Linked DNA regions of Drosophila melanogaster. The protein of the gene in region 1 interacts with the protein of each later gene in a pairwise test. Each region holds a gene or a part of one and is shown in the gene's direction. Other genes may lie near its edges.

Evidence for each region.
Region 2: the proteins of vilya (region 1) and nenya interact in a two-hybrid assay, tested with the Drosophila melanogaster proteins (2 studies listed by BioGRID).
Region 3: the proteins of vilya (region 1) and mei-P22 interact in a two-hybrid assay, tested with the Drosophila melanogaster proteins (one study listed by BioGRID).

Annotation. Positions count from the first base shown.
Region 1 is NC_004354.4:2,724,769-2,728,304, forward strand, and holds vilya (vilya), read left to right. Parts: upstream 1-1,909; 5' UTR 1,910-1,938; coding exon 1,939-2,459; intron 2,460-2,523; coding exon 2,524-2,716; 3' UTR 2,717-2,800; downstream 2,801-3,536. Other genes in the region: fs(1)Ya (female sterile (1) young arrest), read left to right, coding at 1-1,723; dwg (deformed wings), read left to right, coding at 3,064-3,495. UniProt on the Drosophila melanogaster protein: Required for the formation of DNA double-strand breaks during meiosis together with narya and nenya.
Region 2 is NT_033777.3:27,926,857-27,930,154, reverse strand, and holds nenya (nenya), read left to right. Parts: upstream 1-1,980; 5' UTR 1,981-1,998; coding exon 1,999-2,658; 3' UTR 2,659-2,798; downstream 2,799-3,298. Other genes in the region: mino (minotaur), read right to left, coding at 10-174, 807-924. UniProt on the Drosophila melanogaster protein: Required for the formation of DNA double-strand breaks together with narya and vilya during the meiotic recombination process. Plays a redundant role with narya in chromosome segregation during female meiosis.
Region 3 is NT_037436.4:7,242,759-7,246,021, forward strand, and holds mei-P22 (meiotic P22), read left to right. Parts: upstream 1-1,629; coding exon 1,630-2,625; downstream 2,626-3,263. Other genes in the region: Neos (neosin), read left to right, coding at 1-295; mRpL50 (mitochondrial ribosomal protein L50), read right to left, coding at 447-876, 936-1,045, 1,102-1,131; Cdc27 (cell division cycle 27), read right to left, coding at 3,074-3,263. UniProt on the Drosophila melanogaster protein: Required for formation of the mei-W68-mediated double-strand breaks (DSBs) that initiate meiotic recombination.

The DNA of each region.
Region 1 (3,536 bases):
CGTGGACCAGCAGCAGAGCTGCACTGATGTCACCGGCGCCACGGAGACATCGAAGGCGACGCTAAAGAAGGCAGCGAATAGCACCGCCATTTCAACGCAAACGTCGCCGTCCGTAACGCCCATTTCACTGATCAACATGCGCTGGAAGGCCAAGAGCCGTGTCACCCACGAGGAGTTCATCAGCGACAGCGTCTCCTCCATACGCAACCTGTCGTCGTTCAGCAACAGCTCCATTCGTCGCTCCATTGGCCAACTGGGCGTGAATCCGTCCGAAACGATGGAGAAGGGCAAGGTCATACGCTCGACGTCCACACCACTGCACGTGGAGTCCGTGTTCGCCAAGCCCAAGGAGCCGATTACCTTCAATGCTTCCACTGGCGGCCACGTGTCCAGCATCTACCACGAGGAGCCCAGTCCGACACCCGAAAGCAATCCCGTCCAGCAGCAGCAGCAGCAGCAGCAGCCGTTGCAGCAGCGCGCCTGGAAAATGGGCGCCCGCAACAAGATGAGCGCCGCAACGCCGCTGCGCCAGGTCATGTCCAAGAGCATTCAGAAGGCCTTCGTCGAGCACGGCGGCATGATGGTCCACCAGCCACCATCCGCAGTGGTGCAACGTCGCGTGCGCCTCGATCTCAGCGAGCACAGTTCGCACGAGGCAGCAGGCTCGTCCGCTCTGGACCTGCGACTCTCGCCAGCTATGCGGCGCACCCAGAGCGAGTCCAGCGCCTCGGAGGTCAACAGCGGCAGCAGCTCCAGCTACAGCACCTCGCGGAATGCCGATCTATGCAAGCGGCAGTTCTTGCTGTCCGCACAGAAACTCACCACCGAGTCGATCATCATCACGCGGACGAACTCCAGCTCACAGAAGACCTCTTCCACGGTGTACAACTCATGCGAGAGCGTCGAGATCATACGCTCCACCTCGGAATCAGCGGAAGTGTGCCACGTGCCGGCCATAACGCCCATCCGTGTCACCGGTGCCGGCATCAACAAGAAGCAGATCAAGTTCGAGACGCCGCCCAAGAGCAGCCAACAGATGCGATCGAATGGCGAGGGCGATGAAACCAAGGACCAGTTTTTCACGCCGGAACCGGGAACGCCGGAAATTCCAGAGCGTCGTCATCGCCAGGCGATTGTGCCGCGCCAGCTGAGCGGCGAGTTTTCGCCCAAGAAGGATAAGCCGAAGGAGAAGGGGCTGGCGGTGATGGCCCTGATCTCGCCGCCATTGCAGCAACCCAGGGTGCGTCCTCCGTTGCGGGAATGCCGTCAGCAGAGGGTCTATAGCGGCGTGCAGGATGTGGGCGAGCCGGAGGTCGTGGACGCAGAAGAGGAGGACGAGGTGTTCCGCCCCACAAACGCCTCCACGTGCAACGACAAAAAGCTGGAGGCGCCCAACTCCGGTCGCCTGTGGTCGCTGATGAGTTCCATGATGCGACTGCCGGCCAGCTTGCGCGGCGAACGCGAAAAGGACAGGGACAGGGACAGGGATTCGGATAAGGAGAACGCTGGTTCGGGCTCACTCATCCGTCGCTGCGCCTCCATCGCTGGATCCCTGGTGCGCCCCAGTGCAAGGGACTCCTCCATGGAGGACCAGCAGTGCCTCAAGAGAAAGCGCACTCAGACGCTGGACAGCCAGTACTGTAGCCCGCTGTCGCCGTCCAGCTCCTCGAAGCGCTACCGCATCCGGCCCAGGGAGCCCATCGAGCGCATGCGTCGCCAGTAGGTTTTAAGCTTTTGCCTGCGAATCTGTGTTTTAATTGTGAAATTCTTCTTTTTTTTTATCGTTTAATAAATGTTTGGTCTTGCATTAACCGTTATGCGCAGCAGGAGTTGGCAGGTCCAGGAGCTTAGCTCGTCTCATTCAGAGCTGCCAACTCTATCTATTGATTCTGTTATTAATTAGTTGCGCACAAGATCGAAAAGCTTAACGGAGCGCCCATGGCGAAATCACAAGCAGGTCAGACTGTCGAGCCGGAGGCGTCCAAGCTGTGGATCCACTGCAACAGCTGCTGCGCCCTGTTCTGCGATAAGAAGCACACCTTCTTCCTGCTCGCCTGCCATCACGTGTTCTGCGAGCGGTGCGTCAAGGTCTCCGCCGGCCGCACGCCCAGCGACGCGCCCATATTCGAATGCTCCACCTGTCGGCGGAGCGTGCGCGGCCGCCAGTTGACCAACTCGATGCCCAACCACTTCAAGCAGCTCTTCCATCCGGAGCCCTTCACCATCGGCAACGACTTTGTGGAGACGTTCCAGCGCGGCAATCATCGGCACTTCGACAAGTACAAGGAGAGGAAGGAACTGGAGATGGATAAGCTGTTCAAGGACATCGAGGTGGCCAAGTCCGTGTGCCAGAAACGCTTCCTGGAGGCGCAGATGCTGCGCGTGGAGCGCAAGAAGCTGATGCAGAGGTCGCGCTACATTAAGGCGGAAGTCGCCAATCGGAAGGCGGAAATGCATCGGTGCGACATTTGGATTCCATTGAAAATAGTTCCCATTAATGCATTATATTTCTACCCGCCTTAGGATGGCCCAGGCCTACCGAAGCCGCTCGCTGACTTCGCAATCCTCGTCATCCGCCCAACGCTCGGCGCGCGGACGTCCTCGTGGCCGTGGAACAGCCACACAGTCCTCCAGTCGACGCCGATCAACGGAATCAGCAAAGCGGCAGCAAATCACCAGCTTCATACACCCGCCGAACAACTCGTTCGATCTGTGAGCTAGTGCTGATAGGTAAAGCTCTGTTTTACAACCGAGTATATATTTTTTGTAAATAATCAGCTTAAAACAATAAAATGGTGTCATAAGCTTTAAAATAATAAACTGCTAAGTTAACAGCGACCGTTAAGTTTCAATTAACAGTTTCGTTAGGATAACAGAAGTGTTGAAAGTGAATTCGATTAATCGAAATCCATCGATGACTGCTGCACCGATAATATCGCATAAGCATCTGCTCTAAAAACGCATAAAAATTGAATTGCAAGAAGTAGAAGAGCGAAACGTCATAAAAGCGGCAAATCCGGCGCTGTCCGACAAGAACCACAGGGGAAAGCGGATAAGGACATCATGATGAATAGCAAGATCGCCGAGGTAGTGGTGCTCAACTGCCGGACGTGCACGCGTGCCTGCAAGCTGCACAAGCCGCTGCAGGAGGAGATCGATCTGGGTTCGGAGGGCAGCACCACGCTGGCCAGCATGCTAAACTACTGCACGGGACTCTCGTTCGAGCCGCAAGACGGCGCCGCCATGCCGCAGCACATCTGCCTCCACTGCCTGCAGCTGCTGGAACAGGCGTTCAACTTCAAGCGCATGGTCATCGATTCGGACGAGCTGCTCCGCCTGGGCCTGGACGAGGCGCGCTGCTCCAGCTTTCACGAGAGTCAGACTCATAGCCCCAACCAGAGCCAGCAGCACGACCAGCAACAGCAGGCGTTCGACTCCACCGAGGAGTACGTCATGATCGAGATGCTCAACGAGGAGCAGGAGAACGTCGCCAATGTAAGTATCTATCACTTCACGGTGCAATGGAATGCAATGGT
Region 2 (3,298 bases), on another chromosome or scaffold:
GTCACCCACCTGTCGGTACTCGAACTTCTCGCTGCGCACCACCTGGGCAACATATGGGAAGAGCACGCCCCAGTCGAATAGCTTCTTAAAAGGCTTCTGACCCGAATGCGGGGTCAGCTCCAACATATTCTGCGTCCCAATGCCATGAGCCACCGAATTCTGCGTCTTGGGCTCCTGCAATGAAACGATCGGAACAATTCTGTGATTGTGATGCAACTGGCATGCATATAGACGTCATGCAGGCGGGTCAATTGGTACCTCGAACCAGCCGCGAGCGTGAAACTCCTCCATGGGCATTCCAGCCAAGAGATTCTACCGTTCTACAGCACTTTCAAATTGTAAATTTATAATTTACGCATTTACCCATGCGCCCGGCTTTTTTTGCAGGAAATCGACGGCCGATAAGTCCTTCTCAGCTTTCAGGATTGTTATCGATTGGCAGGATGATGTGGCAACGCCACGAGTATTTAATTTAAAATAGTGCAAACTTTTAGAAAAACGTTTGTTTTGAACATTTAAATTTAGTTACAAATTGTATTTGTAATTTGTATTTGTACATCAATAGATTTAAAAATCAATGTTTTGATGTCAAGTAAATGTTTTTAAGGTAATTTTTTGGCAAATATATTAATCACTCTGCGGACTTTGACTGAATTGCAATACGGATACGGTATTTACAATTCATTGAGTGGAAATGTTTGCTTATCTGCGATACTAGACACTCCCTGCAATTGCGTCACGGCGTGTACTACGTGGTGGGGTTAACTTTATTGGAGGATGGGTGCTTGATAAGCGGGGAAACTTACATTGGATGATCGCAAAGTGACCAGAAGATCGCTGCGTATGGTGTTGATCTTGCTGAGGTAGCTCGTCCGGTAGCTCAGATTCAGATTGGGAAACAGGCTAGCGATGATTACCGGTGCCCTGCAATCGTAATCGGATGGATTCGGATGGCGTTACAATCAATCATTATCAATAAATAAAATAAAGTAGCACCAACGCGGGTGGTGCTGCAATCAAATCAGGAGCACGCAATTAACAATACAACACCTCTTCGATTATTATTCGGCTACTTGAGCGGTCTACAGTCCAACTTCGCCAGAGTTCATTAGCCCAGCGCAGTCATCAGCGGGTATATATTTTTATATGGAAAGTCGTGTATGTTTTTGAGTAGTGCCGCTATTGATAAGTGTTTAGTTGTTCATAAAATATGGCGCAGAACTGAACTTTGAGCGCGCTTTGTATGGCTTTTATACATACAATAATATCATTATATTTGATTGAAAATCAGCTGACATGTTCAGAGGCTAAACATTTGTTCGCTATTGTGTAAAAACGATCTTTTTTTTTAACATATGTTTCTCAAATGCTATATGACGAACTTCTGACGGCTTGTTTATAATTCCAAATATAATTCTAATTTATTTGAACAATAAAGGGAGTGGTTAACGGGCTCTTAATCTTTAGGTGAACTTGAAACCATACTTCAACTATCAAAACCAGACGGATGCCTGAGTAAATCACAAATAATAACATCAGCGTTCGCTTTTACGGTCGCATTACGTTAAAAAGCACGTTTTCCTCTCATCAAGTTTTTAAATACCCCAATCTGTTTACGCTTAATTATTTTGTCACGGAACCTTTTCTTGATTAGACGACTACTCGATTGTAAAGCAAATTCGTATACAAATTCCACCATTTATACGCTTAAGAATAGAAATTTATTCAATTTTGGAATCGAAAGCCAAATTTGGAATTATGGTGCCAAATCTAAACAATAAAACAAAGAAGTCTGTATTTCCTGCACCTTTCAAAGAAATAAGTTCATTATAAAGAGTCTTCACTGCATTTCAATTGGGGGACAGTGCTGCCAGAAGCGCAGCCACCGTAGTGGCCAGACTGAAAAGGATAAAAACCGTTAGATTACAGACGCTCCAAAGCAGCTGATTAAAGTTCAACAAACTCTTAGTTTACAAAGAAAAACAATTGGTTTTTGGAATGTTTCGAATCCACTGCAACAAATGCTTTCGACGCCGCAACGTCGAGCCAACGTTGATCTTCCACATGACCCAGTGCCAACACGTCCTCTGCGCCTCCTGTCTGAGCGAATCCTCGACAGATAAGAAGTGCCCACTGTGCAAACGGGATCTGCGAGCGATTCCGATCGACAAAAACTTGCCTCCAAACGTGGCCCAATACTTTGAGGATCCGCTTCGATTCCAGCAGCTCTACCGCAAGATCAGCAAGTTCCAGGCCGACCAGCGGGCATCGGACAACCTGGGATTCTATCGCCAGATGCAGGAGCACGAGAAGAACGAGAGCCGCTTAAAGGGCTTCTGCAAGATGGAGGCGCAGTTCAACCAGCAGATCCAAAAGGAGAAGGAACGGATCGCCGAACTTCGCGCCTACATAAAGTACCACGAAGAGGAGGGTCTCAAGGAGTGGCCACACGCCACGGGGGTTGAGAAGCCCTGGAGCAACCAGGCACGTGGCCTGCGGCCCAGGACACCCTCTGTGACCACATCGGATAATACCCAGTCGGATGAGCACATGACAACCTTCTGCCTGGACTCGGACATAGATTGCCTTGAAGAAGACGAACCCCGCCGATACGTCAAGAAAACCTTTAACGGAAACATCAAAGATTTTCACATATAATCACTTCTTTCCACAAGTTTTCCTTAACTACAACTAGATTATTAAGATCATTACAGTGTAAGTAATATTAAAATTGGTGCCAGGAGAACTTTAAGCAGAGATCGATGATACCATAACATAAATTTAAATCCAGTATCAGCAATCTTTGCGCTAATCTTAGAGTGGACTTCACAATCATCTCGAGCTGTGGAAAATTTCTTTTTTTTAGAGGTCTAGGACAAGTGGATCACCACTTTGGATTATTACTTTACTTTTATTGCCCACCGATACGAGATGAATGCCACGCTTTCTTTGTGGCCCCCAAAGCTGGTCGAAATCCAGCAAGATTGCGAGAATAGCCATTGTGCAATCTTAATCAGATAATTGGGTACGAATTTAACAGCGGCAATCGTTCCGATAATTGTTGCCAAGAATGATTTGGGGGCGAAATGTGGGTGGGGGATTCGTTGGCTATCACTGCGAGTGCACCATCGCCAATTGCGCCTTGCAAAGAGAGTACTCGATGGGCAGTGGGCGGCAGGAGAGAGGGGAGCTGCTGAGGGCGGGAGAAAGTGTTTGTGCCGGAGCAAACAACACTATTTACGCCCGGGTGACGTCAATCGGTGACCAATGACCCAGGGCAGCCTCCCAGTGCCAGTTA
Region 3 (3,263 bases), on another chromosome or scaffold:
TCTTAAGTACCTCGAAGGCGAACGCGAGGAGCAACTGAAGCGAGAGGTGGGCGAGGCCAATGCTCTGGCCAAGCTAAAAGCTCCCGATCCAGAGATCGAGCTGCAGAAGAAGATTCTTAGCATCATGAACAAGCCGGCAGTAACCGATGTCACCAGCGAGCTCATGTATCCCACTTTCGAGGCAGTCAAGGAGGACAGAAGGCTAATGGAGCTACTTGCTGACGATCGAGTGTTGGCGGCCCTGGAAAGTGTTTACAACTCGGATCTCAGACAGATTTTAGCCGAGTATTTATAGACTACCAATACTTAGTAGTATTCATTAATTTTAGCCATTAAGCATATTTAACATTTAATAAATGTAATACCTAATATATATGACGTAAATCTCGGGCTTCCAGAATGCATTTAATAAGTGTAAGACATTAACAACTAACAATTGGCTGTTTCTAAGGCCAGGATCGCTTGGCTTCGTGTCCCTCGTACTTTCCACGGTACTTGAGACCGGTGACTAGGGTGGAGCTCTTGGGGAAAGCCGTTTTGCCGTCGAATTTGGTATCTGTCTCGGGATGGAATCGCACGTACTCGTACTGGATGTGCAAATTCTCCGGCAGCTCGATGCGCTTCAGTGCATCAAACGGCACGGTGGTGTCCACAGCTGTTTGGTAGAAAGCGATAACATCGCTGACGGTGCGCAGTTCATGTACCTGGGAGTTGGGCACTCCGTGCTGCAGCTCCTGGAAGCACGCGTTCAGGAATTCGAATTTCTCGGAGAGATTCCCCAACTGGTCGGATTTCAGTTGAAGCGAGGCGGCTACGGTTCGAATACGTTCGGCGGCATCTGCAGGTGGGGAGTACGGCTTATGGGGACGCAAGAAGCTACAATCAGGAGAATATTTACTTGGTTTTTATGTAAATAAATTAAAGAAAGTGCTTACCCCTTGGCGGCGATGGACTCGCCGACAGCTGAAATGGTGCTGGTTTTGACGGGCTTTGCTTTTGCGGCCTTGGCGGCGGAGGCAAAACTCCTATGCAGGCTTCCCGCAAGCTAAATTCATGGTGGCATTGGATTTTAAGTGAACATTTTTATTATTTTTTACTTACAATTAGGGTTTTACGTAAAATCGCTGCCATTGGATGTGACCAGATTGAAAACAATGCGGCATGGCAGTCAATACTGAAAATATATTCACTATACTTACAGGTAAGGAGATGGTAACACAAAAATACTGCATTGAGCGTTGCCAGGTGGACTCACTGTTTACCCACTGTTAAATTTATAAACAAACTTAAAAAAAATGAAAACATTATGAGTATTGAGTTATTTTTAGTCGAAGATCTATCTCATAATAGTCTTTCTTGAAACAAATTTTAGTTTAAGCAACAATAAGTGATAGGATTTTATTTTAAAAATATATTACCTCATCAATTTCAATTTAAATCTAAATTCGACATAACTTTACGAACGATAACTTTATTAAATTGCGTGGCAGCTCTAAGCTTTTGTCGATAATAAGGTCCTGTTATTCAATTGATAAGTCCTGCTATCGCGCCAACTGTTATTTTTTTATAATTTTGCATTGAATAATAGTTTTAAACTACATTGGTGTTCTTTATGTAGTATAAAACAGTATGGACAGGACAACAGTTGTCCCGAGTCCGGCCTCCACCTACTGCTCCTTTATGGGTGGCTCCCAGCACTCCCCATTGCGGCGATCACAGCGCCTCATCGACAAGGAAAACCGGGATCTGCAGAAGATTCCGCCCAAAAGTCTTTCTCCTCAGTTATTTGGAAACACTGAAGATGATTACAGTGAACTATTGTTGCAGCAAGGGAAAGTGGTTCACCTGAAGCCTGCAGCTAAGTTGGTGCCCGTGAGATCCTCGGATAATCTAGTCCATCTTGGATCCCGGGATAAAGTTGTCCCCTTGAAAACTTCCAATAGAATCGTTCACCTGAAGCCTCCATATAAGATTATCCACCTCAAAAGTTTAGATGAAGTTGAAAAGACCGTAAAGAAGAAGAATAATATTCAGAAAGAAGTTCATCAAAGGAATTCACAAAGGAGAAGCATTCAATGCACTCCCAAAAAACGTGGTCGAAAACCAAAGCAACCGGCTAAGAAACTGCAGTCAAGAATTTCCACCGATCAGCTAGGAAGCACACCATCGCCATCCAAGCTGCCTGCCAAATATCCCGCCCATTTTGTTCATCAACTTCCGCCCGCTGAGGATTCCAGCTGTGCCACTCGAAGACGATCCTTATCTGCTCCAGCTATGCAACTTAGCGATCTAAGCCTCACACCCGATGAGATCCAAACTCCGGAGCGGCGCGGTGAAATCGTAAACAAATCGCCATCGGATCTCGACTCCGATGTCTCCTTGAACTTCTCGCTGTCCGATTCCATTGGCGAGATCTTCGGCACCAAGGACATCAGCAGCATTCTGACCATGCAGCGGCCGCGTCAGTACATTTTGCTGGAGGAGCATCTGCCCACACTGGCCACCATGTTGAACGTTGACTTGGAGCGACTGCGCTGCGTGCTGGATATCACTCAGGGCTTGAGCCACGAGCAAATCCTGCGCTTTCCGATAAAACATGAAGAGGATGAATTGGAAGTACCTTAGATATGATGGGGAACTTATAGCAGTAGTATAATGTTTTCACTTTGAATAGTTTTAATGTCCAAGTCCAACATATTTAATTCCCATAAGATCCTTGTTGCTTTAACTTAACATTTAAAATGTATATCTCCCTTTTTTTTTGTATATTTTTAAGTGGTATTTAATTGTTGTTGTTTTTTGTTGTTGTTGTTTCTTTTTCGTTATTTTGCCTTAGACTTTCAGAGTGCACAATTTTTGTTTAAACCATTTACTTTTTTGTATATTTTAAATTACTAATGCTAAACGTTATCTAGACTTTATCATACTTCATAATTGGTTTCCTTTCCTCCACGACAATACAGCAGCAATCGATCGGGGTTTTTTTTTGTATCTGTTACTAAGTTTTCTTTTTTGTTTACTGTGTTTCTCATTTAACGTATATACAACCGCGTGAATTTGGAGTTGCAGCTCCCTAGTAGTCGCTGTCGTAGCTTCCGTCCTGCTGCGCCTGCGTCGAGTCATCGGAACGCTCCGAAGTGGGCTCCAGATCAACGTCCAGGGCCGTAGTGTTGGCCGGACAGCAGCTGGGATGAGCCATTGAGTCGAAGGCATCTTTGATTTGATTGTTGGCACCTTTGGGATCTAGGTCGGTGGCCCAGCTG